Linked DNA regions of Drosophila melanogaster. The protein of the gene in region 4 interacts with the protein of the main gene of each other region in a pairwise test. Each region holds a gene or a part of one and is shown on either strand. Other genes may lie near its edges.

Region 1 (7,621 bases), on a different chromosome or scaffold from region 4:
GTTAGGAGCTTGTACAGCGGATCTGCCTGAGCTCCCTTTACATCTATCTTGGCAAAGAGGTGTCCTATGTTGGCTCCCTCCCTGCGCAGGTGATCCAACATTTCCTGGCCATCGGACTCGGGCATTTGACCCCCAAACTGGTTACAGGGAAAGTTTAAAATTCTCAAGCCCTGGTCTTCATATTCCTCGAGTAAATAGCGCAAACCGTTGTACTGAGATAAAGTAAGTCCGCATCTGAAGTAAAGGGTGGGCCAAGTTATTAAGAACTTTCTGTGGATCATTCTTACTTGGAGGCAATGTTGACGATAAGCAACACATGGCCGGCGAATGTATCGAGTTGCACTGGATTCCCAAACGTATCTCGAACGGTGAGAGCGTGTATCGTCAGACGCCATCGCATATCCTGCAAATCCTGTTGCAATCTGCTGCGTGTTTGTAATACTACCACCAAGGCCACTGCAACCAAAAGGCCTGGGAAAAGAAATTCTTTATCGAACATCGTCTAGCGTGCTAACTGCATTTGGGATCGCTAAGTGAAGCTGGGAAAACGCTTTAAGTGAAAATCGATTCGAGAGGCTAATTGTGCGTGAAGCGACTGTTAAAAATCGCATTTAAATGTGCGGCCCTTTCGTTTCGGTGCAGACACACACACACACATACACATGCCCCAAAAAAGTGGCAGCTAAAATTGAATTTGCCCAAAAAGAGCTAAAGTTGCATATGCTGACCCACGAAGCGAGTTGCACGTTAACTTAATGTTAAACTTTTTTTGGCCTCTGCCTGCCACACGAAATGAGAGCACAAAACACACATACACACACACACACACAGATGCACACTGAAAACAACAACAACAAAAAGTTGAACAATCGTAACGAAATAATTGAATTTTCATTTCCGTTTTATGTGTTTACTTCCGCTTCATGGACGCGGCACCATTTTCTCCAGCTTTTCCGTTTGCCCTGTCCATATGTGTGTGTGTGTGTGTGTGTGTGGGCTTGGTGATTTCGGCCTATTTGTATACAAAAGGCAGTCAATTTCTGCCAGCTTGAGGAAACTTTTTAAGTCAATTGTCAAAAAGTTCTTAACATCTTTTCCCCAGCCACGCCCCACTTTTGTGGACTCGGTATGGCTCTGTTTCTGTTTCATTTTCGCTGCCAAAATTGAAATATAATTCGGTAAAGTTGCGCCTCTTTTCGGTTCGGCTTTTCCACTTAGACGACGTTTGGATTTGGGCCATAAATCAATGCCAGGCGAAAGGCGTTCGACTGAAATTGATTTAGAATGCGTGGAATGGGCGTAACTTCTTACGGTCGTCAGTCAAGCTTCTGCACTAAAAACAGTCCGAAATGCCAGTGCATTTTATAGTTTGGCTGCAAATCACTTTTCAAACTCTTTGACACGCAGAAAAATATGTCACACTTTCATAAAGCTAAGAAGGAAAAGGCATGATATATTTTAAAACCTATGTAAACAGAATTATATGGCATTATTAAATGCAAAAACAAGAAGACTATTTACTTTAACGATTTTTTCCCATTAGAAAAATATATCCAACTTAACTCACAGAAGAAAGCACCTTTAATAGATCACAGCTGAAATTGTGATTATCATAAAATCAGCATAGAATGATTGCCAACCGGTTTTATAGCAATAACCAGCGATTATGCTAAAAGACATCTCCGTCAGACTCGAAGTCAAATCCATCGAGCATCCAAGATGATCAACTATAGCGGTTTTGCATATTTGATGCACTTGGCATAAACTTAATAAACTTTGCCCCCAGTTACAGGTTATAAACCCGGCGCACCAAACTCGTAAAGATGGAAGCGCGTTAAAGTCACTGAGCCACAACTCGTTGTTTTATGACCAACTCGATGAACTTGCCGCTCCCCCCGTTTGCCATTTCCATCTGGTTTTGTCTAAGCATCTGCCATCATTCTGGCTTTTGTTGCACCATTTTTCACTATTAACAGTAGCCATAAAAGTAGCGTTTGCGCCAATAAAACTTTTGACATGTGGGGCAGGAGGGTTTCCTTAACGTTTTTTTTTCTTACTTCTAGCCGGGCCAGGTGTTACCTTCAACCTTTGCACCTGAGCTTCTCCAGTTGCGTCTGCTGGTCCTGCATCTCCACTTGTCATTTGCCACTGTGGCCCCAGCTACTTGCTACTTGCCACTTGCGCATTTAATTAAGTTTACGCCGCGCTGCACACGCAAAAGGACGAAGGACGTTATTAATTAAATTCCTTTATACACAGGTTAAGCCAGCCATCCCCTCCACCACCTTTCGCCTTTGTGTGTCAACAATTGGAATATTAACGAGGCAACTAATGAAAGTTTACAAAGCCGGAGTCTTTTCCGCCGAAACAAATCGAAAGGGAAACATTTAATAAAAGTCGCACTCACCGATTTTCCGCCCGAGATCAAAGCAATTGCTAGACCAGTTCCCCTAGCACCACTTGACCCACACGGCGGATGCGTGATTTTCGCTACCAATTATAGTGGATCGTCTTGGGAGCCTTTTTGCAGTGTCTGCGTGCAAATCCCGCCGCGTTGATGCACTGCGGCAAAGGTTTCGGACCCCTAATAAGCCACGACCTTAACGGACTCACACATCAAAGCAAGAGCACGCACACCCACTTACACACTGGCTTATAAGCCCCAGACACGCAGACATATGCAAAAAGGATATGTATTAACTGTACGCATTTAAGCCGCTTGTCGAACGCGCACAAATCCAGAAGGGGAAAATCGACTTTTATTCAATACACTCGAAAAATCAACTTTGGCAGATAAAAAACGAGAAGATGAAAACGAGACAGCAGGATGGACCGGAAAAACGGGGTTTTCGAGGAGTGGGGCTACAATATGCGAGTATAAATGTGCAAATCCCCAATGCAGCAACAGCTGCTGCTCAGCCACGCCCCCTTTCGACCCCCCTCCCCGCCTTCAGTGCACTCGTTTGGCATTTACATTTAAGCTGATAAGGAAAAGTGCCTGCTCCTCGGGGTCCCTTGGTTTACCGCCTCCTGCACCCCAAAATCCACCTGAGCGCCAAGTCGCCTCGAAGGGCGCACACACACACACACACACAAGCACATCGAAGACGGCGATGAGAATTGTTTGTTGAAAATGTCGCCAGTTTATGAAATCGCGTGCGTTGGCAGCAAGGAATTCACATTTGACGCACGCACTTTACATTATTAATGCCTAAAGACGAAGGCGGCAGAAACAAGTTCAAGTTTTAGGCTAAAAAAACGGGAATCGAGAAAGAAATACCCTTTTGAAAGTAACCAAAATTCATTTGATATATAACACAAAAGAAGATATAGTTGTTACATTTTGAACAAATGGGAAATTATAGTTTAAGTCAATAAGTCAATCCATGCAGATTCATAACCTATATTTCATATCTTCGATAATTCTTATATACCTTTTATATCAAAAGTTACATGGAGTAGGTGAGTAGTGCTGTGTGCGTGCTTGTGTGCGTAGAGAAGCATCGATGTTTTGGAAAATGCTCCTGCCATTTCGCAAATGTATCGCATTTCCGTTTGGGTGTTTGCACTTTTACGCTTCGCTGAGAATTTTCCAATTTTTGCTGCTAATATTTATTAATCAAGTAATAGCTACTCACACGCAGGCACACACTACGTGTATGAACACTTGAGCTTGTGCCTGTGTGTGAGTGTGAGGTCGCTTGATTTTTGCACGAAAAATTGATTGGAAATTTATAAGCTAAACTTTTTCCACTGTTTGCTTTTGTTTGCGGCCCACGAAACAAACTTTTTTGGTGTGCGCGGTTGTGTTTTGTTACTTTTTTTTTTGTTTTTGTACCATTGCTGCCATTTGCAGCACTTGAAAAGGTCGCCACAAATGGAAGTGAGTGTGTGTGGAAAATCCCCATCAGAAAAATATTGAAATTCGATTTTTTTTTTCGTACTCTCAGTAACCTTTTACCAGGTCCCCAGCTGTCTGTCAAAGCCTCGCCATGAGGCAGGAAGCATTTCGAATTATTTTCAGTACAAACTTTGTGCCGAGCACACCTAGAACCCACTCCAATCAAATAAAGTAAGTTCAAATTGTAACTATTCTGGTGGAAAAAAATCTACAATAAATATTCAACTCTGAGAATATTTGTGGTCACTTTTCACTTTTTCAACTCAACTGTCTTCCACAGCGCTGCCTATCATGCAATACAAGATGAACTACTTGCTGATCCTTGGGTGTAAGTATACGTTAGTTTTCAGTACCATCTAGCATGCAATTATTTATAATTAATTGCGTGTATTTCAAACGCATCCATTGTTTTGCTTAAGGTGTCCTCATGTTGATGCGGCCGATGTACGGCGATTGTCTGCGCATGAAGCGTTCTCAAGGCGATACTGCAAGTGATTATAATGAAACCACTACAATGGACAATACTGCTTCACTGAGCGGAAAAGCCACCGTGTTGGCCAATAGTACCATTACCACCGCTAACATGACTGAAGCCGCCACATCTCCGGAGCAGAAGATTACTGCTGGACCGGTGCGCAGTATGGGAGTTCGTGGAAAAACCACTAGCTCCACAACCACCACCGCATTATCATCATCACTTGCTGCTGTGGCATCCACATCCTCGCCTCCGGATGCCGGAAAATTTCAGCTAGTGGAGGATCTGCTGGGACTGCGCCGTCCCAAGAGGCGTTTGGGTAGCCTGATGGACGACAGTCTGCAGCCACGACAATTGCACCACAAGCGTCGCCCAGCGGTGGAAGCTGCTGCTATGGCCACCTCATTGCCACCCAACCCTAATCCCAATCTTAATCCCAATCCCAATCCCAATTCCAATCCCTACGTGTACTACAACAAGCTGGTTTCGCCAGATGGCAAGCACGAGATAAAGGAGTTCGAGCTGCTGGCGCCCAACATGATGATTGAGAGTGTGCAGCAGGAGCTGAACTACGGTCCGGAAGTTCTGCCACCGGAATTGGCCGGAGTGCTACTGCTGAATGCAGCCGAGAACACTCCACGCGGACTTCATAATGCAGCACCACTGAAGCACCATCGCAAGCATAAATCCTCGCCGGCTGTGCCACCGATGCTCTACATGCTGCAACAGCTGTTGCAGCCCAATTTCGAGGGAAATCTCTTGCTGGAACCACCAAAGGAGCCACAGCGTCACGTTAGTTCACCCCTCTATCAATTCCTTGATGGCGCCATGGATCTGGCTTTGCGCAACAATCCCGATGTCATCGATCACCTGCTGGGCGATCACCTAGAATTGGAGCTGGAGATGGAAAAAAAGAAGGGCATCAAGGATAAGGCACTAACGAAGAAGGCCAAGAAGGAGGCACAGAAGATGGAACCCAAGGAGGAGCTCATCGTCAGCTGTCCCATTCACCATGAGCACCATGCCAATCGTAATGGCGACGTGGTCGAAGATGATGTCGTTTTGGTGAACGAGTGCCATCTAGTGTGAACCTGAAACGGGCAGCTGTCACAATGTTTCTTAAAAATTTTAGGTTACTTGTTTTTCCGCATTCTTTTTTTTATTTTTTGTTGCTTCAACTGGAAGATGTTTATATTTCTTGCATATGTAAGGAGTGGCGAGACCATTTTTACTTTGTATACAAAAAACAGACAATAAAAACTAAATACACATCATAATAACTATGTTCAGCGGAAGAATATAAAAAATCAAGCTCGAAAGTTGCAATATAATCCTTCGGGAATGCCATCATCGAGCAGAATGGCCATTGTTCCGCCCGTAACAAATATCAAACTTACGCTCCAATCGACACCCGATCCCCTGGGTGGCCTTCTCCTTGAAGTTCTCCTTCGTTTTCATTAACAAAATCGATTTCCTACCTTGAAATGTCCTGAGGGGAGAGGTGGATGAGCGGGAAAATTGATATGCCGAGTGCGACAGTGCAGCCAAACGAGCAAACAAATCTAACATACAAACCCTTGACTGCGGATGAGAATATATCCTCCATTTATAGCAATACATGTGTGTGTGTGTATGGGTGTAGGGGTGGGACATAGCGAACGGAGCCGAAAGGCAAAAGTTTTGCCGGCTGCCACTGCTAAATGCTGCTAATTTCGTATACAATAAAACTAATGTAAATTGCCACTTGACGTTCACTGGGCGTGTAAGTGTGTGCCATAGTATGTGCAAGTGTACTGGCTGCACATACATAGACATTAAATGGGGCACATAATGTGCCGGGAGTCAGGAATCGAGAATCAGAATTCAGGCTTCAGGACTGGGAACACCAGGGAAAGGCAAGCCATTGAAATAGCGAGTGTCATGGGTGCCTGGCCATCAGCATAAATACAAATTTGCTTCACAAATCCACGTATATAATCTATATAAACTGCACTAGATGCCAGCAGTACATCTACATGTGCCAAGCGGAAAAGTGCAACGCAGCATTCGTAAAATTGCGTAGCTCCTTCGACTTCAAGATACATTTGGAAAAATAGAAAGAATGGAATAAGATTGCACAATAATTATATTTGGAGAGTGGTATAAAGATTTAATTATTTAATTAAATATTTATAGTGTTTCATACGTTAACAGACATAAAAATATAATAATTAAAGGACGTACTTGCTTATTTCTAGGAATTTAACATTTATATAATAATTTCTAGTACACTCAAAAAATATCTTATATTTGTTATAGATATAAAAGTAAGGCAAACATTATTTCTCTCTCTGTGGTGGCACTGCCAATGTCCCTGGGGTGTTAACTGGAGTGTAAATGCGAATGTATGTGCAATTCCCGCTGCTAAGTGACCAGGCCCCCTCCAACATAGACCCTCGCACACATATATATTTATTTACAAGTGTAAATAATAAATGCTTGCATCAGCCATTCCGCATTCCACTCAACTCCAAGGTCCTGTCAGCACTGCAAGTGCATTAACTTTTGCCACACTTTCGTCACCAATGCCATTTTCGCTTTAAGTTGACATCTGCGTAAATAGCTTTAAGTTGCGTACAATACAAATATAAATATAAATATAAATATAAATTTCGAGAAAGGCAGGCGGCGACCACTTTCGCTAATCTCTTTGCTTTTGAAATTTATGGCTTCATTATGAGGATGACAAAGACGAGCGTTGCCAGGACATTGCCAGGACTCTTCTGTCAGTCACTCGCTCTGTCTGGCTGTCGGTCTTTCGGTGCCTTTGTTGTTAATGTTATGGTTGTCATTTGGAAGCTTGTAATTACGTTAGCCACAAGTTGTTGCCAAAAGTTGTAATCTAGATTTCATAGTCAAAAGGCGACAGGCAACAACATAAAATTCAATTGAACTGTTGAGTCAGCAAATATCAAATGAATGGCAATGGTGCCTTTAAAATGCCGTTAAAGTCATGGCCCAAGTATCAGGAATCTGCTCAGTAATATATATAAACATTTTTTGGACAACTAAGGGAAAACTTTTCGCAAATAACCAGCAAATAAATTGCTGAATATAAATTGCAAAATCAGTTTTGCTGCTTTTAAGCTCACTCTGGCATTATCAATTTTAAACGAAAAGTGTTTTACTTAACTGGTTTGGCGTTTTTAAAGTGGTTTAATGGTAATTCGATAACCATAATTTGTATGCTAATAAATACAGCAATT
Region 2 (7,370 bases), on a different chromosome or scaffold from region 4:
GTGGAGGTGTCGCGGGCCAAGGAGAATCTCACCCTCAAGATCGGGCCGAACGTGGACGAGGAGATCAAGAGCGGTCGCTATACTGTGAGTGGGGGTCAGGTAAAACAGAATGGCATCGCGAGTCTCGAGACGGGCAAGAAACTGACGGTAAGTTCGATGTTTGGCTTGAAGGTTCCTCCCACAGATTGCTGCTTGCTTGCATGAGCCCCGATTAGTTGGAAGTTTATCCTAATAAGTTTATTGGCCAGTTAAAATTCAAATAATGAATCTTGAACAATGTTCTTGCCCAGAAAGGGTTTTTAGTTTGTTGTGCTTGCCAACTTACATGTTTAGCTATCCAGTTGTATGCTAATTACTCACTTATGACCGTTTTTATTTGTAAGCAGTAATAGTTTAGTTATCAAACCCAACTTACTCAAAATAATGATATATATCATCAACGCAATAAGTTACTATTAGACAAACATACAACGAATTCCCTTGAAATTTCTCAAATCGCTTGCAACTAAGTAAGTAAATCTTGGCATAGTAAAGCTACTAAAAGTGATAAATGCTTAAATAGTAACAAGGTTTGTGTTCTCATATACCAACAGTGCTACATGCGTGCCCTTTTCACATACAATCCATCCGAAGATTCCTTGCTGCCATGCAGGGATATTGGATTGCCCTTCAAGTCGGGCGACATTTTGCAGGTGAGTTGGTCAGAAAAAAAACAACCCATCTAGTTATCCTGATCAATGTACATCATCCTGGCATTGCAGATCATCAACGTAAAGGATCCCAACTGGTGGCAGGCCAAGAACATTACTGCCGAATCTGACAAAATTGGACTCATACCATCCCAAGAGCTGGAGGAGCGGCGCAAAGCCTTCGTGGCCCCCGAGGCGGACTACGTTCACAAGATTGGCATTTGCGGAACAAGAGTGAGTTTTCATAGTATCGCAATGGGCACCCAGTAAACATTGTGTGTTGCAACAGATCTCGAAGCGAAAGCGCAAGACCATGTACCGATCTGTGGCCAATTGCGAGTTCGACAAGGCGGAGCTGCTGCTCTATGAGGAGGTCACGCGGATGCCGCCGTTCCGCAGGAAAACCCTGGTTCTCATCGGTGTTTCCGGGGTGGGAAGACGTACGCTCAAGAATCGGCTGATCAACAGCGATGTGGACAAGTTCGGAGCGGTCATTCCACGTAAGCACAATTTAAGCTATCATTTTGGATATGAATATTCATAAATGCATTGTATTCGCGGAACCACTTCAGATACCAGTCGCCCCAAGCGCGCCTTGGAGGAGAACGGCAGTAGCTACTGGTTCATGGACCGCGAGGAAATGGAAGAGGCCGTGCGGAACAACGAGTTCCTGGAGTACGGCGAGCACAATGGCAATCTGTACGGCACGCATTTGCAGTCCATCAAGGATGTGATCAACAGTGGGCGCATGTGCATCCTGGATTGTGCACCGAATGCCCTGAAGATCCTGCACAACAGCCAGGAACTGATGCCTTTTGTCATCTTTGTGGCAGCGCCTGGCATGGAGCAGCTCAAGACCATCTATGCGGATCGCAGGGCCACGGGCTCCAACCGGAATTTATCTGTATGTTTCACGTAGCCCCCTAGACTAGGCACTCCTCTAATGCGAGCACATATTCCACAGTTTGATCGCCAGAGTTCCATAAGATTCAGCTCCAGACGCGCCCGTACGCTCGAGTCCCTAGCGTCGTTGTATGAGGTAATGTGCCCTGACCTATCCTTAATTACAGTGTCGTATAAATTGTGCTCAACTCAATCATCCGCTTGGCGCACCTAGGCCACCCTAGTAGCCCTGTTAGATCTCTGCCTGAATACCCAAACATTGCTTAACACATTCGCTTTCTATGACTTTTCCGAACAGGACGACGACCTTGTCGCCACCGTCGAGGAGAGCAGCTTCGTCCAGCGCAAGTATGAGAAATACTTCGACATGGTCATCGTGAACGAGGACTTCGATGAGACGTTCCGCCAGGTGGTGGAAACGCTGGATCAGATGAGCCACGAGGAGCAGTGGGTGCCTGTCAACTGGATCTACTAGAATCCCATGACCCTTTGCAATTGCGCCTTTATGCATATTGAAGAATATATACTATAAAAATCGAATGCCTATCATCACAATTAAAGGGATAATTCCAGTAATTGAAGCTTAAACTCGCAACACAATACAAATTTAGCGAAGAGCATTTAAAACGCTAGCGATTTCAATATTTATTGTTGATTAGACGTGTTTTGCTTGAGGAATGTAATGCGTTTTATTAACTATGTTTATCTCAATTACTGTCATTTTCCTCTTTAAATATAAATCATGTATATATGCAATGTTTGTATAAGTTGAAATGCGCCCTCCGTTTACAATTCAGTTTTCCTTAAGTATAAGCCTAATTTTACGAAACGAATTCGTCCATTTTACCATCTCTTGTTTTATTTTTACAAATAATGAATGATGTCAACGCATATCTCTTCAGTTTATTATTTTAACGAATCTCCTCAGTACAACAACCTTCTGCCAATATTTTCGTGTAGTTTTTAGATTTGTTTGAATAAAATGTGTAAGTTTAACGAACTAGTTAAATGTATTGATGTGGAGTTAAACAAACGAAATACGAATAAATTTGGCTCAAAGAAATGGTGAATTTTGTTTACCTCTAGCTGGTCGCACCAAAATATATTTTATTTGCTGATCTTAAGAGTGTCTTAGAGTTTAAAGGCTGAATGCCAGGCATTTAGCAACTTCATTTGCAGGGACTTATTGGTAAATTCCCAGAGATTTCTCCACCACAGCGTGGGGCTGACGCATATGCTCGCTGTTCTCGGGCAAGTTCATGAAGTCCTCGAAGCCAATGGAATCACAGCGGCCAGTCAGGACATCGTCCATGAAGTTGCTGCAATATAAAGGAAAGAATTAATATAGAAGATAAGTAGTCATTGCTGGGTTTTCGGTAATAATGGTACTATGGGAATCACAGGTATACTTGGTATACACGTATGTATGTATGTACGTATATAGGTATCCATTATTAGGCAAGAAGTTTAGATTTTCTAGATTGTAGGATATCTCAGGTTTCTCCGGGATTCTTATAATGTGGAAACAGAAGATTTCTGAATGCTTCCGCCCTTGCAGAGATTCCTGTCCAGACTGAGAAGCTCCCAGACCGGGCTAGATGCTCACCTGGACGAAAGGAAGGGCAGGCGGCCCACCTGACGTGCGGCGAAGCGCTCCATGCCCATCTTGAGGGGCACGCCGAGGCCCTCGTGGTTGCGCAGCATCTGCATGTTGCGGTTGTACTGGTGCTCGTTGTAGTTCAGCTCCGAGTCGCGCAGCCGGTGGACGTGGGCCAGTTGGTTCAGGCAGTTGGCCTCGGTGGGCATTCCCACACGGCCGGTGGCGTTCAGCACGGACACCTCGGCGGGCTGGACTTTCAGTGATGGCTGATACTGTATTGCGAGGGGTTTTCGTTTCGTTAGCGGCTCTACTAAATGCACTCGGCGAGGTACTTACCATATTCGTAAGCGCTTTTAGAATAAAAATGCGGCGAATTATAATTGTTTCTTGAATGACAAACAAATTCCGTGCGAATTAGAGCTGGTACTTGTGTCGATGCCTACTCGATATCGACGATAATTGACAAGATAATCGAATAGAAAGCAACTTATCGACTAGAATAGAATCCAGTAGTGTAGAAACCAGACTGGCAACTCTTTACATGTGTAGAAATCAGGATGGCAGCTCCAGACAATGCTAACATGGATTCAATCCATTTTGACCCACATAAATTTTAGCTCGGTTTCAAACCATTGCAGGGTACAAAAATGCGGCATGTCCGACAAGTGAATTTCGATTTGAAATTATGAACTCCAAATTTTCCAATCCAATTTGATTATTTAAACAAAATATTTCTATATATATAGCAACAACGCAGCACTATTTGAAATACACTTTAATTGTAATCGTGTTGATGGGTAAAAGTCGGTCTATGCAAATTGGCGTTATTAGCGCACTTAACACTTCGGTCAAGTGACGAACTTGAGTGTTGTGATTAATTACACCCTCGCTGGCCAGCAACGCACATCCGAAATATACAAACGTATCGATCTCGGCCGCAGCTCTAATCAATTCGATCAACAAAAGAACTGAATCCGCTGGCTGGCTGGCCGGGGTTTTGTTTTTCTTTTCACCCACACCTTTTAGCGGCTTTTATGATCTTCTGCTCCACAGAGACGCGATTCATTTGCATCGAGTGACAAACGCGAACGAATGCGAATGCGAGGAGACCAAATCACACGACAGGGCTTAATTAGTGCATGGTCACTAATAAAGATTCGGCCAGTGGATGTTGTGTTAATCAAACTCCCGCACACAATAGCCCAAACTGTCTCCGGCCAACCGATCCGATCCTATCCAATCTGAACTTGAAAATCCAAATGGAAACATCAACCGGATGGATGGATCTTCACCTTCACTTTAGACTAAAAGGTAGTACGTAAATTATGATTTATGCCCATTTACTGAATTTTACAGTGCGAAAAAAGCGAACTACATTCCTGCTTTGTAATTTACAACTTTAATCATTTTAATATTGGTATGGATGAGCATTGCAATACAAAGTCAAATAGTTTATAGCATGTATAGCTATAGTATTGATACAAAAACGTATTAGATAATTTAAAAGATCAGCCCTATTTTTAATGAATGAATTCTATATTAAGAAACTGACAAAATGATAAGTAAATTTAATCAGCAGACAATTCGAGAATTTACAATAAGAATATCGCAACGGGCATATTTATGGCGTCGAGTTGATAAAAATATCGTTAGTTTTTATTACTTTGAGATGCGATTCTTTCGGATGCAACTTATGGTGATTTAATCTATAAGTCTATAAATAAATTAAGTTAGAATAAACACAAATTACTCGCATCGATTTTAGCTTACTAGCATCGTTCCTTTGACTTATTTGTTAATACAATCATTTCAGTTCCCTGTGAATTTTGCCGCTTGAAGAGTTCAAAAGAACTCATACCACGATTGATTTATAACGTTTACTTTCTGTTTTACTGCCTTTGACCAATTAATACACAGTAGACCAGTACGAGGCGAATCAACCAATTCAGTCAGTCCAATATATGGCCATAAGGATGGCCAAGAGCCAACTATGTATGGTCGAATGGAGATGGAGATCTCAGGGCGAGAAGATCGATATGTAAAAGTCAAATAAAAATATAACGTCGAGAATTAACATTTTTTCACAGCAATAAATGCATAAAAGTCGAAGATGTGTATTCAAAAAAGAGAAGAGTCGTGGGTTCAACTAGGGGACTCTTCAGATGAGGGAATTCCTTTTAAAACAGCTTGATTGGGCTGATATTTCTCTTCTATTTTATACGCACTCAGAGAAATTAATGGGTAAAAGCAAGAGATTCCAAAAGATGATCAATAGATGATTTCTTTAAATTGAAGTACAAAATAAAAGGATGTTTCTTCAGCTTTTCAAGAGTTATTTAAAGGCATCCGAGGGCACGATTTCCCTCAGTGCACCAGTACACCCATTTCTGTATGACGTATATGGTATAAAATTTACAATCTTCTGCAGGCCGTCTCCGCTGGATGCTGCCCTCCGTCCGCCATTGTCGTCGCTAATAGAGACATACAACCTCCACTGGGAATTGATCTTGGATCGAATCGAAAGAGCAGGAGGCTTCGTTAACGGCACCAAAAGTTCGAATGTTTCGTTACTTTTCCCGGCTGCCATAAACTTTTATGGCTGCAAGACGCAGCGGAAGACGAGGACAATGGGTCTTGGACCTGGGATCGGGATTCGGCGATCAGAGAACAGGGAGCAGCTGTAAGCAGATGGTCGTCGAGATGATTGGGCATTATGCCGGACCAGGCCCGGGGCTATCCGGTATCTTTCTTTTTTTTTATAACCATAGGGGTCGCTGCCGCTTTGACGAGCCACCTCCTCTGGGTGCCAATTAAGATACGAGGAACTGGGCTGTAGCTGCGGCAGTATAACCGAGCTGGACCCTATTAGCAGCCATATTGCCAGGTACTGAACGAAATGTTGAGTTTAAGAAATCGAAGGATTTTAATGATATAATAATATAATATTAAGTAACATATAATATGAAATTCTTATTCTTGGAACTCTTAAGAAATATACATTGCACATGAGAAAAGAGAAAAAATGTTGGATCTTAACATACTCCCTCAAATATGGAATATAATTGTTTAAGGTTTTTAATACATTATTTAGTTTTCTGTACTCTCTTTTTTCTGTGCATGGGCACAATAAACGAATATCCCGTTCGTGAGTGATCTGAGTAAGATCGCTCCGCACTTTTATGGCTCCCATTCGCTAGGATCCCCCTCCGCCATTGGCTTCTCGTGAATCGAGATACTCTGGGCCATAAATCAAGCGGCTGAGTGAGGAGAGATGGCCAGTTTCGGCGATGCACTTCATCCATTTTTGAAAATGCCAGGACATAAGGACATGCTGTAATCCCAAATTGAAATGGCGGACGCAAGACATAAGCTGTGAATTCGGCGTAATTTTGGCAGCGGCATGTGTAATGCAGTAGCCAGGAAAAATAGAGGGTGTACGAAAACAAAAGGCGTCGGCAAAAGTCAAAAACCATTTCGATACGCCAGGATGACCAAAGGCCAGCGACCAGAATGGAACGGGTTGTGCCGCCGAGTTCCACCAAATCGGGGATATATATATATACATATACATATATACACGCAATGCATATCTCTGCCGATCTCCCGACATGTGCATGTGGCGTAACCGAAACAGAAACAGAAACAAATGCAAACACACACTGCAGTCGTCCGCTCCCAATTTGGTATGTATTTTTTAGCGTGTAGGTGTGAAAACGGAGTCCACTTCCTTTATCGGGGGAATGTGTTTTGGGTTTTTTGCTTTATTTCTGGTGGTTGCCGGTGCCTCCCCGGGAGGGGGTATTTTGCATCTTGGCTGACACACAAGTCCAAATATTTTCAGTGCGAAATGAAAACGAAATAAAACCCTGACTCCGCTGCTGTTTAATCTAAAAACGTTTTCCGATTCGGTCACGGTCCTGTTCGATTGGAAACCCGCTGTATCAAAATCTGGACAGGTCGTATATTTTACCTCGCATCGGCTTGGACATTTCCGATTCTGCTAATCGCAGGTCCTATAAATCAACCCCTTAAGAGCCGCAGCCGGGTACAATCTCTCTAGGCGGTGCCATACTAGACTATAAGTGCTAGTTGTGTACTATACCATATATGTACGATCCGATCGTCTGGCACTTTAGATCGCCATGTTTGTTGTGACGGGCATTCCTTGCATTCCATCT
Region 3 (8,604 bases), on a different chromosome or scaffold from region 4:
AAGTCCAAGGTTGGCATTGTGATTCCCGAGTCCGATTCCAATTCCAATTCCGAATCCAAATCCGAAGCCGACTCTGAATCTCGTTCTGAGGCTGAATCTTATTCCCATTCCCAACATATGTTGCCAGTTGGCTTCGTTTAATTAGCTGACAGCTCTGGAGAGGAACGGCGAAGAGAGTCTCGATTCGAGGCACTGCAGCCTGATAAGATCTCGACAAAAAATGTATATGTGTGTACACACAGTATCTGTGTGTGTTGTCTTGCAATCAAATGTAAGCCGCTGTTGACATTGGAGATTAAAAGATATTAAAAACGAAGACGACAACGGCCTGAAGCGGCAGGAAACGGGAGGACGGCGACGGAGGAGGAGCTCTTGGATATAAACACAATGACAAACAGACAGTCCGACGGACACACAAAACATGTCAAAGATGAAATGTTGTAAAGAAAATTGAATTGAATTGAATTGAAGTCCGGCGCAGACCAAACTAATAAATAACAAAAGAAATCGTACGAAAATAAAAGTAAAATCGAAATAAAAACGGAAAAGAAATCTCCAAAGACAAGATTGAATTTCAAGAAAATGTACTCAGCAAAACTTAAAGCTTTAGTTACGGCTGGGCTCTCTTGGAAATCGATTGAATTGTCTGGTCTGGGTGATTAACTTGAGCAGACAAAAACTTAAAAAAAAAAAACAACGGCCGAGAATAATGAAATAAATCGTGTTGAAAAAGAGCCAAGTTAAGCAGAGGGAGTCCCGAGAAAACCCAAACGCAAGACAGACAGTCAACGAAATCGATTTGTTTTGAGATTAAGTCGACTGCTCGTATCCCATCCCATTCCATGCCATCCCTATTCCAATCCCAACTCTCTACTCTTCCTCCTTTTCGGCCAAGAAACGGACTTAACTGAAGCGTAAAACGGAAATGTTATGGACAGGCTCAAAAGGAAGCGTAATGGAAATCAAAGTCCTAACCGAATCAGGTGCAGGAGTTCGGTGGGCAATTAGCGTGGGCAACTCGTTTCGATAAGAATGAATGGACCCAAAATCAGAGGCAGGGGCAAAAGCACTTAGATAATTGTCTTAAAGCCGGGCCCACTCGGATAATTGCTTTAAAGCTGGCCATACTTATAGGACAGCTGTCTCTAAGATCGAATAGAATTGGATCGGCTCGGGATTACGAGTTCCCTGCCCCTTCTGATCATAACTCAAACACTTCAAGACCAATTAAAGGGTTTTCCATTTCTTCCCCAAAATGAATGCAATTTCTCCCGTCTTCCTTTCACTTTCTCGCACTTTCAACTCGCAGTTGATTTATTCCGGGAGAACTTCTTTCCACTACTTGACAAAGACAATTGCGGTTCAAGTACAAGAACAGCTGGCTCAAATTTATACACTTTCATAATTGAATTGTTTGATTGGGAAATTGTTAAAATAAAAAGAGAGAGAATGGAAAAAGTAAAATTAGATGGACACAGCCCAAAAGTCAAGCCTCATATCGGGGGTTGCTATATGGCTATGTGGCTATAGGCTATATGGCTCAATTGCAATTGGGTTCGTGTCGGTCAGGTAAGGGAAACGCATTTATTAGCTGCCATGATAAATGTTCTCCGGCATTGGCGACAGGCCTTCGGATTCAAGGCAAAGGATCTCCGAAATCCCTACCGTCTATTGGGTATATTTTCCCTCTCTACTTTTTTTTGTTTTTTTTTTTGACCGCCAGTCTATGTGTAATTTTAATTCGTTTGGGTCGCACGAAGGAAATTGATATGGGTGCGTCGTTGTTGTCTGGCCCATGGAAAGCCAGGCTCAGGTAAGAATTTGTATCTCGCTTTTCTCCTCTGTCGCACTCGTTCTACTTTTGGTCGCTCGGATATTGAGACATTATAGTTAGGGCATTGATATCACAGCGGGGGATTGTCGGACTCGTAAGTGGAACAAATGTGGCAGACAGTTGGAATTATCCTCGGAAATAATGGTTGCGAAATCTTGGAGGGTTTATGAGATTCAGATAAGTACTGTCTAACTGGTGAATGATACTATAATTATGTTTAAACTACTTCAATGTTAATTGCTGTCCTATCAGTAGCTTGTCCAGGATTGTAGTATAAGTCCTGATTTTCCTTGATTTATTCTGCACGCATTTTAAACTACATTAAAGCCGGTTTTTCCCTAGTTTTTCATCTTTAATCTATGGAAATGCCTTAGGGCCTGGCCACACGCACAAATTACTGGGATCTGGGCCCGGATTTTAGCCCCTCAGTTGTGATTTACCCAACCTACGGCAACTTTTGACTTAGTTTACATATCATTTATTATTTGCGAGGGCCAGGGTCCCGAGGTGCCTTGTTTTCCACAAGGTGTAAGTGCTCTACTAACCAAACACAACTTGCCACGCCCCCGAGGCGTTGGGCGAGAAAAATGCGAGGGAAGGAAAAACTTTTAAATAAAGCAAAGATTGGTGGGCAATAGGAGAGGCAAGATGACGGCATGTCACATCAATGTCACTCAGCATTAAGGCTGAAAGAGAAGTGGTGGGAGATGAGGGGAAAATTCATGTCCTGCGAGCACTGCGATAAAGTTTTTTTTTTGTTATTCAGGCTCGCCTCCTCCTTTTTCGCCAGTTCCTCTTCGGCCGCCGGGCAGCTGAGCGTGAAAAACAGCCTCCTGAATTTTCCCCGGCTTTTCTGTGCGCTTTCGCTTTTCCTACGCTTTCCTCTGCTTGGCTGGACTTTGCTGCCGCTATAAATTTACAAGCGTATAACAAATATTTTCCTTTGTGTTTACAATTTCTTACTGCTTAATATTCCTGCGCGAATGTTTTGTTTCTGTCCGCCATATAGCGACTTATTTGCATAAGATACTTTCTGTTTGAGGTCTGAGCGAAGTTTACCTTGTAAGTAGCTTAGGAATTGCCATAAGTTGGCCTATTCAATGAACTTAGTTCTTTGATGCAGACTTGCCGCAGAAAGCAAATAAGATATTTTTAGTCATCGTCTGCACTCAAATATTCATCACTGGCACATCAAGTTTATAAAAAGGCCTATACTTCTTGCTGTGCTCTAGTGCACAGACGACACTTTTACTGAAATTTATGTTTCAACTACAGAGAAAAGTCAGTTGGCTTATAAATTTCAGGGGCACACGCTTGGCATACTAATTAGCCGAGGGATTTCATTCGAAAAAAAAGGCTAAACAGCAAGCGGAAATCCTGTGAAAAAGGGCCGACATGTGTACGACTCAATTCCGAATTAAAATTCATTTTGCCAAACAGGTAGAATGCTTCCCATTCACACGATTCAAATCGATTCAAAATCCAGTACCCAGAATCATTGTGACCGCAAGCAACAGTTCACTTGTCCGAGGACTTTTCGAGCTACCCACGCCACTCCAGATTGAGTTGTTATTATTATTTATATCCATGGCGACCACGATTCCCGTTTAACAACTCATTTAAGACCAGATCTTATCGCGATCCTTCGTACATCTTCTTGTCCGACTTCCCCAGCTCCAGCCATAAGCATAAATTTTATTTTGCGTGAATTTATGAGTTGCGCCGACGACAGGCGGGGTATACTTTACTTATTTACCAAAGGATTTACACGCCAAAGAATTGGGGAAAATAATGAACTTCGACTGGCTGCACTTGTTGCGCGTTTGCTAATAATTTAAACAAATTTACAGAATGGAAAAACACAGCGCTCGAAAATGCAGGTAAACAAAGGTGTCGCCTCAACTAGTATTTGGTTATAATTAAAGGTCCCTCGCAGTCTTTTCTTCTCTTTATTTTCTCGTCTCTTTGGCGGTTTCTACGCTTTGAAGAAGGGAAGAAGCCGCAGCTCCAGCGAAACCCAGAGATGATTTGTTTACATTCTGATGGAGCCGCATGGGTCGCCACAAGAGTTCTGTGCTTTATGGCTTGATAGCAGATAGCTGCACAGCTATCTGCTGTTTCCACAAAAATCACTCATCACTCGGGCGTAACTTTATATGGATAAACATATCTGTTCGATAGACACAACGCACACTTTCGGGGAATTTTGTTTGGAATCGGATATAATCCTTCACTTGCTTATTTGAATAATTCCCCAACTTCCTCCTATAAATCTCGTTTTTTACGGCCTCACTCCGCTGGAATGCCTTTTTTCAGTTCGTTTCAATTAGTAAGCACTGCACTCTGAAGATTAGAAAACTCAACTTTAAAACATACTTTAATGTTGTAATTCCCAAATCAAAGGGAAATTCCGTTGATCTTTGCTAAGAAGATTGTCACTCGCCTACAGAAGCTCAACCCAAAATCGCCAACTAATCCGGTGCGTAAAAGTTTTCAATTTCTCAGCGGCATATCCAGGTTTGATTTTTCATTTTCCATTTCCCTGCCCACTTACCCGCTTTTCTGCTTTTATAGTCCAACGGATATTTGTCAAGTGGTTTGATAAACTGTTTCTGCTTGTCTTTTGCTAGCTAATCAAATCGGTTTCGAGCCAATTGTTAATCCAATGTATTGCTTGCGAATTTCGCTTTGATTTTTGACAACTTTTCGAGTATCACTCAACACAGAATATTTGTGGTATTTGATTTATTATTATTAGTTTGCACGACGCGCGTATCGTTTGCTTGGGATTTGTGGTAAATATTTTCGTTGGTATTTATTTTCGTTTTCAGTAATCCACTAGTGATTCACATATCTTGAAAAAAGTCTCGTATTCCGTTCAGAGTTTTCTTTTCGATTATTGTGGCAACATGCGAGACACTCACGTCCGTTTCCTGCGACGTCGAGTCAAAAACTGAATTCCAAATTCGTTTCGAGCGACTGACGACGGCAGCTACATCTGCAACATGTGCAGCGGCAACAACACGACAGCAACATCGACATCGGTTGCCGCTGCCGAATCCAGAGAGAGAGTTCGGGGAAATGAACTTCCCGAGAGAGAGGATGAACTCATTCGGGCTCGTTCTAATCGGCATTTTCGCACATTTTCGTTGCAGTTGACATTCGCTGGCGCTGGAAAATTGTCCATGTTGCTGGCGAAAGTACAAATAAAATCATAAAAAAATTTACTTTAAATATTGCTTGGCACATTTTTATTTAAAAGTGCACACCTAGCTCTGTCTTTTCCAACCAAAGAATGTTTACGATTTGTTTACCTTGCATTTAAAATCGTATGCCGTTGAACTCTTATGTACATATCCCAAAAGATGTACAATCATGTAGTTTAGCAACCGTTGAAAAGTATTATTTTAATTCCTAATCAATTCCAATTATATTTGAGTGTCACCCAAAAACTTGTATGTATTTGCTATTTGTTCTCGTTTTATTTATCTACCGAGCCCATTAAGACGATTTATGGAAAGTTTCAGGAAAACATAGGTAGTTCCTTGGCTGTGATATTGTGACAGTCAATAACATGATAAACATCATAATCATATTTGAGAAAAGCCAAGCCCATTGTAAAAATATGAACACATAATGTTGAAATGGTAACTCAACATTTCTCATGTTGCTTAAGCTTGGGGATTAATTTCTTTTTTTATTAAACACATAAAAACTTAAAGCAGATTTAAAGACAGTCGAGCGATAATAAGTATGACTGATTTTTGAAAACAGATTTAGCAATTAGTTTTTTAAATAATAAGCTCATTAAATTACTCATCTAAGTGTATCAATTTCTGCACCTGTCCATTAAAAATGTATCATTCGAAAATGTCCCAATAAAACTAAATTATACTTCATCATATCGATTACCATTTTTTTTACCGGTAAGCAAAAATAACAACTTTTTGTCGTTCAATCAAGTGAAGAAGAGCAACAAAAACAACGACCACTATCAAGGTCAATGTCTGATGGGAGTGGTGGCGAAAACAGGGGGAGGCAGCGATTTCAGCATTTTCCTGGTTTTTTCTTCTTTGTTGCTGTTTTTCAGCTGCATGTAAAAGTGCAATAACAACAACACCAGCCGGCATGAAAATTCAATGTTATTTCTCATATCACCCAAGAAGTACTCTCTTTCGAAGTTGAACTTCGAAAATGAACTCGGTCTCTCTCGCGCTCACTCTCTCTCTCTCTCGCTCAATTGCCGTAGAAGTTGCTGGTGTCTTAGCAACATGTTGCTGATTGGTGCACACTCTTTTTTTGTTGCAATGCGATTTGTGTTTACGCATTTTTTTCGCACCTCCACTTACTGTTTACGTTTATCGTTATACTTTCACCTTCTGCGCCACTTTGGCCCCAGCCCCGCCCACTTTTCCACCATCCACCCACCGCATTCCTTCTGTGTTTTGTTTATAAACATTCTTAACCGTTTGTTTTCAATGCAATTCCATTGTGCCAGTTGCTGAAAGCAGATGAAAAAATTAGGTGGAGAGTGGAAAATGAGGAAGCCTATCTTTTGAATGGGCTACACTTAAAGGAATTTTGATGTAATATATCTAAGGGCCTAATATAGTTCTATATATATCTTTTATTTACCAAATGTAACAAAAATTAAAATTTATTTATTTATTTCTTTACAATAAATATCATCAAATATAATCAAAAATATTATAACTACTTTTTGTTTCTGTGCACTTACAAGTTGTTTACAGAACGGAGGGAAATTCTTTATAAATAGTTATTTGTCGACAGCAGCAGCGACAAATGCTTTTGGCCGCAACTTAGTCAAAGTCGCTAACGGTAATATCCATGCTTCGCTCCTCGGAAAATCCCAACCCCCCGGAAAGTCCACCCCTCCCAGACTCATTAGGCGTGTCAAGTGATATGTTTGCCTTTGCCTGTTACCCGGGGACCAAACCGAAACACATTAGCGGCTCATTCCCTGCAACTTGGGGGCCAAAAGCAGAAAAGGCCATGCAAATTAAAGGCGCATTAAGTGATTGACCCAACGGAGGGGGGAAAACTGCGGGGTATTGCTGGGAAATGGCGACCACACGCACATTCTGAAAACTCGAAGAACTTTTCGAGCAAAACCGCAGAAAAGATGCAAACTGAAAAGTATCTTAAGGCTGCCAGCACTCTGGAGAAATTGCCAAACCCAGAGATACCAAAGTATAGCGACTTAAAAGTGTATCAAATGTGTTCATACAACATTCATATAACATAGCTTTAGCTCCAGCCAAAACAAACATTTTGCAAAAGAATCTTTTAAGCTTAGATTTATCTTTCGGATGAAAATGCGAGTGCTGAAAAGTAGCTAGTGGGTACAATAGTTTCGCAAGTATTTGCTAGCACACAAAAGTTATAAAATACATACATATAAATATACATGGGATCAGAAATTTTGTATTTCATCTTTAAATTGGAAATGTTTAGAAAAAGATAAATTTTAATTGAAAAATGCACATATTCTTTTATAAGCCGTGCCATATAGGCCTTCTGAAGTTTAATTGAATGCCAATAAGCACTAAAACTCTTCAACGTTGCTATGTAAAATTTGGATAACAAATCTCACGTGGTCTACCAATTAGCCATCCTGTTTGCCGGTTGCCAAAAATTCATAATACAAAATGCTCTTTTATGTATGTATGTATATCGGCATACTCTCCCATGAACACACGACAAGACAGCTGACGGCGAGGCTTGTTTGCAGATACAATAATTAATAATTCCGGGATAATCTGCATGTTTGTCAAAGTGATACGGTCCAAAAACGGCAAGAGGAGAAAAATGTGTTCGCAAAAACCCAACACAAAAACACCTACACACGCACGTGAATTTTGAAATCTGTGTGCGGAAAAAGTGAGCCAGCCAAAAAACATTTCGAAACGCTCAAAACCATCTGCATAAATACGTTTAGATTGGGTTTGAGCCCGATTCCCCGCCCCTGAAAAGAGGTCCTGTTAATGATTGTATGAGATTGAGCTGGACATCCTGCAAGCCATCCTCTCCCCTTTTCAATTGAAATTTTGCTTACTTTACCAGCTGTTCATGTGCCCTCCACATTTGACATTTATTGCTGCAACTTCATTAGGTCTAAGGAAAATATTATTTTTCCACATTTTGAGAAGACAATATAGTTTTGCGAAAATAAAACAGTTTAAAGACATTAATTGCAAAAAATGGTGAACCCTTACCGATGCCGATGGGTATTATCTAAATATCTCAATGATATGTTCATCATTGAAAATGCAACCTTAAGATAAAAGGCTGCATTTTATTTGCATCCGTATCCGTATCTTAAGAAAACAGACAGTTCTTATATCTTATCGTTATCACTCACAAACTTTCTGACCTTCGTAGAGAGTTTTCCCAATCTATGTAGTTCAAGGTTCTACACATTCCGTTTGTGGCATGAAGCATGTGGGGAAATGAAACTCTGAAATAATCTCTCGAATGATTTCGCACAATTCCCGTGTGAGATAACACAAACGCACCCATCCACCGCCCCAATGTGCCAATTTCAAGTGCAATTATAATTTTTGTTTGTCATGCAAAAACATCAACAGGCAAAAACAATCGACAATGGGAAACGGCAGGCTCCAGCGACAAAATGGGGAAAAATACGCAAACAAAACGAGGCACGAAGTGTGGGTGGTGGCAAGGCTCCAAGGACGATAGGCGTAGGCAGAGGTGGAGGGGTTGGAGGGCTGGCTATACGCCCACAATCA
Region 4 (9,110 bases):
CTACTGCCCCAATGCCGGACACGTGGCCGCCTGGCCCACCAATCCCAATATCTTCTACGTGTGCAAGTCGACGGTTAACCAGAACCTGAACGACACCATCGTCATCTACCCCTCGCTGCACAGGTGCAACGATGGCGAGACCTTCGTGGACTACGTCTGCCGCAGCGGATCGAATGTCCTGCCGCCCAGCACCGATGATCCTTCGGTGATCATCGAGGATCCCAACGACGACGACTTTTCGGTGCTGCCCAACACCTGTCAGCACGTGGGCTTGATGGCCGATGGAAACGACTGCCGGAAGTACTACTACTGCTCGGCTCTAAATGGCACCCTGCGGCACATGGACTGCCCCAATGGGACTTACTACCGACCGGAGCTATCCTCCTGCGTCCTGGGAAGCTGCTGAGGAAGATGCATTCCTGCACTTTATTTATTCCTCTTCAATGGATTACATTTAATAAACAACTCATGTTTACCCTGGAATAACAATCTATTTGACATGAATTTATGAATTCCCATTTCAAAAGGTATCAGTTTGATAATAAAGATTCAACCACCATGTCCGTGGGTAATTAAACCAGAATGAGTTCTTTGTTTTTTTCCAATAAAAGTGCAATAGAAATGGACTAGTACTGTCTTGGTTCTTTCTTGCTAAGAGTGCTGTGACTAGGTCATAAATGTTCCATAGAATGTTTTTTTCGTGACAACATTGCAGTTTATCTATTAATTATACCGAAACATTCTGCGTTTGGTTGTGAGGTACTATATAAGGCGGAGTGTGAAGAGGTCTACTTAGAAAGTTTGCAACATGGATTCATCTCGCCTGATTATCTGCCTCCTAACTTTTCTGTTGTTTCAAACGGGAAAAGGGTTGGGGAACGGCAGTTATCTGGAGCTCAGATTGGATGCAGCTGCTGAATCCTGTCCAGATGATTACTACTTTAACGAAACTATCCAAGCCTGCGTATCTACAGACACTACCAGCTGTACCAATCACCAAATCGGCAAATGTCCGATGGCCACAGAAATGGACGAGTTTTGCGTGTGCAAAGATAAGCACCTTCAGATCTGGAAATGCCCTGAAGGAACCTACTTCGATGCCAACCGATTGGTCTGCCGGGTGGGAAGCGTTGAGTGCCAGGACGATTATACTCCATCCCCATGTCCTAACAGCACGGCAAGCGATGTCTTCTGCCTCTGCATCGATGGCAAATGGCATCTTAACTACTGTCCAACGGGCTTTACCTTTGATGACGAGCTGCAGATTTGCCTGAACACAGGATCTGATGACGACGAGTTGCCCAGTTCGTCTGGAAAGTGCCAGCGGCTTGGATTGTTTGGTGATCCCGCTGACTGCTCTGGGTACTATCATTGTCGCGAAAAGGGCAGTGATATTGAGTATTTCAGATGCTCGGTAGGAACCATCTTCAATCTAATTTCCTTTGCGTGCGTTACTGGAACTTGTTGACCCAACATATTATAGTTATTGTAGCTAGCCTATCTTGGAATAAAACTGATTAAAACTGATTAAACTATTTTCAATGAATTCCGGATTTATCAGTTCGCAGTTTCGATGATACTCTTCGAATAATTACAATTTTAGCTACGCTTAGTAAGTTTTCTAAATTTATTATTACGTCGTAAAATTTTGGTTCTTTATCAAATCGATAATACCTAGAGAAGCTTATCTGTTTAATTAAGAAAAAGACACTTGCCTGGCTGATTAGGTGGTGCTATAAAAGCTAGTCCCGCAGATGACCCAGCCAACAGTCTTCAAGATGAGGTCTTCAGTACCGGTTTGTCTAATCCTGCTCGCTCTGGCGTTGGGATCGGCGTGGGCTAATGATAATCCCTGCCAGGATGTGCGCATTCCCGGCTTCGTTTGCATGAACTGCACCACCTTGGGCTACTGCATCCGCGATGCCACCGGCAGCTGGGAAACGATTTCGATGCTGGGCTGCCAATCGGAGTACAATTTCTATTGCAGCGACGAGGGTACCTTCGGATGCACCTTCCAGTCGCAGTGCCAGGTGCCCAAGAGAGGTCCCTTCAGCTGTCAGCAGGCGGGCCTGTTCCCGGATCCGTACGACTGTAGGCGGTACCACGAGTGCAGCGATCAGAGTGTGGACACCCCTCGCATCTGCTCCAACGGAGCGGGCTACTCCACACTCACGGGCACTTGTGTTCTGCCACGGGAGAGTGAGCAGTGCATCCAGGAGCAGTTCACCTGCAGTCGGTCGGGACAAGTGGGTGGATGGGCGCCCGACAATCGGTACTTCTACGTCTGCGTCAATGACACGGCCAATTCGCTGTATCCGCTGATGATGAAGTGCCACGAGGGATTCGTTTTCAACAGCTACAGCTGTGTGCCCGACACCAGGAGCATGAGGAGCATTCAGGCGATGGAGTCCCACACGTGCATGAACAACGATAGGTACCAATGCCCCTTCCGAACCTCTGAGATCGAGTACTGCAAGTGCGTCGATGGAGAACTGGAGGTGATGACCTGTCCCGCCGGCTTCCAAATTGATCCTAAGATCCTGACCTGCGTGACTGATAGGATCTATCAGTGCTCGGACTTTGAGATCCTCAGCTGTCCCAATGTCTCCACCAAGGATGAGTACTGCATATGCATCGATCACCAGCTGCAGATCTACAGCTGTCCAATGGGACAGTATTTCAATGCTGAGACTCGAAAGTGCCAATCAGAGTCAGAGTAATGAATTGTTTTCATGGTACCAATATTGATTCAAGTAAATGCCTATTTAAAAAATTGAAATCATTCTGAACATTTTAAGATAAACTACAAATAACTATAAATATTCACCAAAATTTTAATGAGACCCAGTAACGACAACAAATCAGTTTGAATCTTAAGCCTAAGAAAGTGGAGGGATACGGACTCAATCGTCACATTCCCGCACCACAGGATGCAGGACGATCGAGGCTCCGTTGCAGCCCGTGCGATCCGAGATGAAATCGTGGAAGTTGCTCTCCAGCGCCCACATGAATCGCTTGTGACCCGGGAGCACTTGGGTGGACAGCCGGCAGTCGCCTCCCCGCTGCACCTCCTGCAGATTGGCGGCCTTGAAGCAGGTCTCCGAGTCCCACAGGTAAATGTCGTTCTCGCCCTTGTAGCGGAAGAAGAGCGAGGTGCCGCCGTCGGCGCCCAGCAGCACCGCCTGTTTGCCATAGGGCTTGGGGCCCACGTCGATGATGGAGCCCGCTCCCTGGCCAACGCGCAGGTACTCGCCCTTGATGGAGTACAGACGGGGGGAGCTCAGGTAGCTGAAGAACAGGGTGGAGGTGCCGTCCGGCTTCGAGGTGAGCGCCACGTACAGCACATCGCTGGTGGGGGCGGTGGCCTTCGGCAGGACGATGCGGTAGGACTTGTTGCCGGTGATGTCGTATACCAGGATACTACGTGCTCCAGCATCGGCCACATAGCTATGGTTGAAAGTGAAGGAAATATAATGTGGAATGAGATTAGATATCATGTATGCAATACAAATCGATTTTATTTGGTATATGATGAGCCACACTTCTGAGAACTACCTTGAGCAGATAAGATATGAGCCTCAAAGTGGCTAATGCCCTTTTGATTGGCTCAATGATCGCTGATTGAAAGCATGATTGAAAGTGTGTGGTAAAAGTACTCCAAACTCTTGATTCAGTTCGATGATTTCAACGAATATTTTATGACTGCAATATGAATCTCTGAATATCATTGTGCTGATAAATAATGGTTAGTAATAATGGTTAATAATAATGTAATGTGTGGTATTAATTTCATAGTTGATGTATTTCAAAAAGTGATTAAGTACAACTCATTTCACAGATGAAGTTAAGGGTAATAAAAGAGTATAGGCAATGGAACTCACACGAATGGCTTGTTGTCCTTGGAGTAGTCGACCACGATGAACTGCAGCCGACTCTCGGAGGTGACCAGGTCGCTGAGGTCGATGCTCTTGACCACCTTGTGGTTGGCCGTGTTTATGGCCACGATCTTGGGACTGCATCTGCGGATGGGCTGCTCCAGGGTGTTGACAATGCCCACGTCCAAGGCCCACAGAAGTCCCTGCGAACGGAGAAGGCAATTATTAATTGCTATCAATTGCAGCTCGTGTTGATTGTTGTTAATGTTTTCATTTGGCGGCTAATTGAAATGTTGGCGGCGTTAAAAATTCCACATTCGCAAATATGTGGCCATAAAATGAGTATCAGCGAAAAGCACTGAATGGAAAATTGCGCAAATAAATAAATACAGTCGCCTCGTTTGTTTGCCGTTTGTTATTGTTTCGTCGACTTTTGTGTAAATAAAATAAAGAAATGATTTGCATAAATGCAGCTAAACGGGAATGGCATTTAAATGAGAACGATTCGACGCCAACAATAATTGAAGGAAATTATTAAGTTGCAGCTTATGCTCGCAATCGTAAGTAGGTCATGTAAATATTTAATAGCATCATTGTAATATCTGCGAATGCATCTGTCATTTAAAATTAAAGCTGAGAACTTCTGAAGTGCAATCGAAATGCACAAAACACGGCTGGATGGCCTGTTCCCAGCATTTCCAAAATTATTTTCGAGAACTTTTCACTGCATTTGCTTGTCACTTTTCAGCTGCAGTCCTTGTCCTTTATAATATTCCATTTACCCCACAGCTTTTTCGGCGTTTCCGTATCCGTTTATTCTACCCTTAAATTGCTGCCGCCAATTGACGGGCATGAATTTTATTTGGAGCTCTTCACTTTTGTGGCCCCGTTTATTTGATTAAAAAAGTAATATTTGGTCGACAGCGAGGCTAACCAATTAAAAAAGTGCGTCCGGCAAGGGGTTAATGCGAAAACGATACCCTGGAGCTAAACTCCCGATTTTGATCGACTTTGTAAGGGCTAGCAAATATTTAACACTGCGACTGCACATCAATATCAATATCAGAAGATAAACTAAATCATTTTTAGAAAAAAAAAGTGAATAGCCCTAAGAGCATTTCAATGCTACCCTGTAATCCACCCACGATACAAATATGAATTAAACATTTGGTGTGGGTTAAAGTGCTATGCCTCCATGGTGGCCAACAACGAGCAGTCCGTAATTAAAGGCAGAACTGGCAGTTTGGACGAGACAACTTGTCTGACCCCCAAAAAAAAAATGGTCCAAACAATACTGGCGTTAATTGCACTCACATTCTGATCGACGGCTATGTCCACGACGGACTGCAGCGCCTGGCAGTTGCCCTCCTCCTGAATGGCCCAGCAGGGATAGGGTGCGATCTTGGTCAGGCACTCGCCCTTCTTTAGATTGACCTTGCCGAGAGTGAAGGGCACGCCCTGCTTGTACCTGGGCAGCGCCACGAAGGCGGAGTCCCGCTGCAGTTGGGCCCGGGTCACGATCACGTTACGGGGCACATAGCGGCCGGACTGGACGTAGATGTTCTTGGTGGACTCGCAGGGCCAGTGGAGGCTGCTGCCGCTGAGCTGGAAGGTCAGTTCGTTCAGCGGGTTCTTGTCGCACTTGGTGCCGCCAATGGAGTTGGAGGCGTCCGTCGACTCGTCGGTGGAGGAGCTGTATCCCGCGAGGACCACGGAGGCCGAAGCGACGAGGAGCAGCAGTTGCAGCTGCGACATTTTTCGGCGTTTCTTTCTGCGCTTTCCACAAACAGAGCTTCTGCACTCGATTCACCACGTTGGCCAGAACATAAAACTGTCTGAGCGATGGTAGACCTGCATTTATATATAATACCCAACGACTTATGCAGCCAGCATGTGGAGCGTGTTGCGGCAAGGTCGTTGGTTGCTTGACACGGGGGGGAACAAGTGTCTGTCTGGAGTGGCTACCACCCAGCCAGCACGTCTGGCCCACGCCGGAAGTCGGCCAGACCTCTAAGCCCGCTCGGTTTCTAAGCAATGCGGAAAGCGATGCGGAAATGAAATGCAAACTTAACCCCTTCCCTCTATCTAGATTACACGATTCTTCCTAAGCCATCCAAATCAAATTTAACTCCCCTGGTTTTTACTTTAATTGTCTTGATAACAGTTTGTTCTATTATGGCAATCTATGCCTGTCTAATTAATCACTTCTACTCCTTTTATTGCTCTTATTTTCTGAGTATAACTTTGTGCTATTATAGCCATTTATAGGCAGCTAATTAGTCACTCAAGTCCGTTCAATAAAATGGGTTCAAGTTGCGAAATAGCTTCTGTCACTCATCGATCGCTCTTGTGCATCCGACAGAGTAGCAAGTTTCACCCCTTGGCAGGCAAAGTTCAGAGGTCGCTGCGAAACACTTGCCAAAGTGGCCCAAAAGTTCAATATCAATGCTGACGTCTGTGACCTGCATATCTGCGACCGAGAAAGTTTCAGTTTCTTGGCTCGAGTTACCAGCTATTTTCGGATGACAAAAACATCTGTCAGTCCGTCCGTCTGCAGCTAGCTATCAGTTTGCTTTTGGGGGAGGGGGCGGGCGAAAGGAGAAAGTTCGGGGAGTTGGTGGGGCACATTACTCGCAGATAAGATTGCAAGTTGCCGGAGATTCGTCGTGTGAATCACACCCACAGTTTCGCGGAACAGTCACTCTGTTCCAAATTGATTTCATTTCTATTTTAAGATAAATGCAAAGGCGAAATTTTATCGCATCAGGGAACTTTAAAAGGCGCTCTGAGTTCGCCATTTTCAAGTCGGGGGTATAGCTCAGGGGTAGAGCATTCGACTGCAGATCGAGAGGTCCCCGGTTCAAATCCGGGTGCCCCCTGGAACTACATTTTTTGCCATATTTTTTTTTGTTGGCTGCTCAAGTCTCTTTGTGGACTTTGGTGGACTTTTTTGCACGTTGATTGCGGGGGGATTAGAGGTGTATCCGCCCGACGTGGTCGATGACCCCGTTAACTCGTAGAAACCCACATATCGCCAAGCGGCGAATAAAAAATCTTTGACACATTCGGGCAAGCGGTGGAGGAGTCGGTGTCCAGCTGAAGAGTCTTTTGTTTGGGACAGCTCGTGCAGCGAATTATGGACAGCACTGGGCTTACATTAAATCACAAAATGTTTAATCTCCTTACAGCTGCCCATCATCAAATGACCATCGGCGGGTCAACATTTTGATAACCCATTCATCGGGGGTCAGACTGGCTGCTCCTTCCGCATGGCGGAATGGGAAGGGTCTGTCTATAATGCCAAATTACATGCAGATTGAATTTTTGTGAATTCCGATTCAATAAACTGCCATGGGTCCAAACCCCCCTTCCCACGATCGTAATCCCCCGATTTATGGCACACACATGCCCAAAAGCAGGCGGATGTGATAAGTGCTGTGATATGTGGGCGGGATTGTCAGTCGGGCCGAATCTGTGGATAAATATTTATGTGCTCCAACATAAATAAAAGCAAAGTATGCAAATGGAAATTTGACGATGCTAAGACTCTTTTACTCTGCAAAAACAGCTTACAGATACGATTATGGCAAAGCTTGAAATCAGCAATCATTTATTCATCTCTAGACTTTAAATGATTAAGATATCAAAATCGACCATTCACAATAAAATTGTGTATTGAAACTCAACAAATTTGGCAACATATTCCATGGATAGTGTATTTGTGTATTTGTGGGAACTGTCCGCACTCATTTGGAAATATTTTCTCCTTGATATCGACAGATGCGTTTAAATGGCAAATGTAAACTCATTGATAGCACATTGGGTGCAAAAAGTGAATGTTTCATATGCACACACAGTAGCAGCGGGTTGCCAAGAGCAATTTGTCGGATGAATTCAATGAATTCAATTATTGCAAAACAATTAAACCAAGATGGGCCACTGGATAAAGGCAATAATTTATGGCGATTGCAAAAGGTTGAGAGCCAATGTGGACAACTTTAAGCAGACGTAAACAAAACTTGGCCGACGAAAGAAAGCCAGCAAAGTGAAAGCAAAGCACATAAATTAGGCGAGCGGCCAAAAAATTATGGGAAGATTAACTTTAAGCGCAGCTGATGACTTTTTAATACCCTGTACTACAACTGTAAGCCCCTGAAAACTTTCTGTGATAACCAATTTAAATCAAATTACCTATATATTACCTATAGCTAGTTAACTATAACTATCATAAAAATACTATTTTAAATGACGTTATTAATCCACCCTGGAGTTCAGCATTTCCAGAAAAGGTTGGTCTGAATTTATGTGAAATTCCCGGTAAAGAAAATCGCTTTCCTCAGCACAAAGTTAAAAAAGCATAAACCTCATTTGGCCCATTTACCAAAACAAATCAAACGTGACCACAGACAATTTTTTTTTTGTACATTTTTCCGCTGCTGCGGGACAAAAAAAAAGAACGACAAATTATTGGCTTATTTGCGTTTTCAATTGGATTTTTATTGGCACACATATAAAAAGTTGAACTTTGCTTTGTTGCGCAGCGCGTTTTAAAGAAGTCGCACATAATCCCCCGACTTTGCAGATGACGCATACGCCCCGTTAACGGGCCATAAACAAGAACTGTCAATGTAATGTGTGGAGAACGTCCTGCGGAATGTCTGGCCATGGTTTTGCCGAGCAGTGAGTGGAGTTTCCCCAGCTAATGGGGGTCAGTCGGCAGTCGTCCGGCAGTCTCTTATCTACCCCCCAAAACTTTTTTGTTGCTGGGAGGTAAGTGTTTACATAAATTATGTCAGATGAGCAGCCCGGAAATGCTTGTCATCAATTTTTTGCGCTCCATCTATGTATGTATATGTATATATGTGCGCTTGTCTCGTATAAATCATTCTGGTGGGTGGGGAAAAAGCCAACCGGAATGCGGGTTTCGGCTGACAATTTAACATGCCAAACACGTTGGTTTTGGTTTGGGGCGATTCCGGGTTGTCTGCCCGTATCGAGGGCCTTAACCTATTTAGGGGCAATTATGGTGATGGAAATGGCGAAATGGCCCAGGAATTCTGCAGGGAAATCCCGGGGATGCTGAGATTTTTCTTTCACTCCTTCAATCACTCTTTATGGGCCAACTTATGGCTGGCAAAATCTCAGATTGAGGTCATTTTGTTGCCCGCAATTAATTAGCTAAAAATATCGCCACCAATCTGGAGACACTTGTTGGGGTTCCGTTTTCAATTGACT

What was found.
Region 1: the proteins of yellow-g (region 4) and CG15109 interact in a two-hybrid assay, tested with the Drosophila melanogaster proteins (one large-scale study listed by BioGRID).
Region 2: the proteins of yellow-g (region 4) and Pomp interact in a two-hybrid assay, tested with the Drosophila melanogaster proteins (one large-scale study listed by BioGRID).
Region 3: the proteins of yellow-g (region 4) and pxb interact in a two-hybrid assay, tested with the Drosophila melanogaster proteins (one large-scale study listed by BioGRID).

The regions. Positions count from the first base shown.
Region 1 is NT_033778.4:19,055,415-19,063,035, forward strand, and holds CG15109 (uncharacterized protein), read left to right. Parts: upstream 1-4,006; 5' UTR 4,007-4,072; intron 4,073-4,181; 5' UTR 4,182-4,204; coding exon 4,205-4,229; exon of another isoform or gene 4,230-4,320; coding exon 4,321-5,465; 3' UTR 5,466-5,651; downstream 5,652-7,621. Other genes in the region: Gpxl (glutathione peroxidase-like), read right to left, coding at 1-234, 288-499.
Region 2 is NT_033779.5:20,783,944-20,791,313, reverse strand, and holds Pomp (pomp), read right to left. Parts: upstream 3,659-7,370; 5' UTR 3,532-3,658; coding exon 3,529-3,531; intron 3,465-3,528; coding exon 3,199-3,464; intron 2,912-3,198; coding exon 2,776-2,911; 3' UTR 2,216-2,775; downstream 1-2,215. Other genes in the region: vari (varicose), read left to right, coding at 1-147, 594-692, 762-923, 979-1,189, 1,262-1,593, 1,654-1,728, 1,891-2,067.
Region 3 is NT_033777.3:15,662,371-15,670,974, reverse strand, and holds the start of pxb (pxb), read right to left. Parts: upstream 4,793-8,604; 5' UTR 4,389-4,792; intron 2,998-4,388; exon of another isoform or gene 2,798-2,997; intron 2,743-2,797; exon of another isoform or gene 2,299-2,742; intron 1-2,298.
Region 4 is NT_037436.4:2,267,062-2,276,171, forward strand, and holds yellow-g (yellow-g), read right to left. Parts: upstream 5,709-9,110; 5' UTR 5,631-5,708; coding exon 5,190-5,630; intron 4,079-5,189; coding exon 3,882-4,078; intron 3,448-3,881; coding exon 2,904-3,447; 3' UTR 2,820-2,903; downstream 1-2,819. Other genes in the region: CG13806 (uncharacterized protein), read left to right, coding at 1-406; obst-I (obstructor-I), read left to right, coding at 809-1,468; CG32302 (uncharacterized protein), read left to right, coding at 1,779-2,720.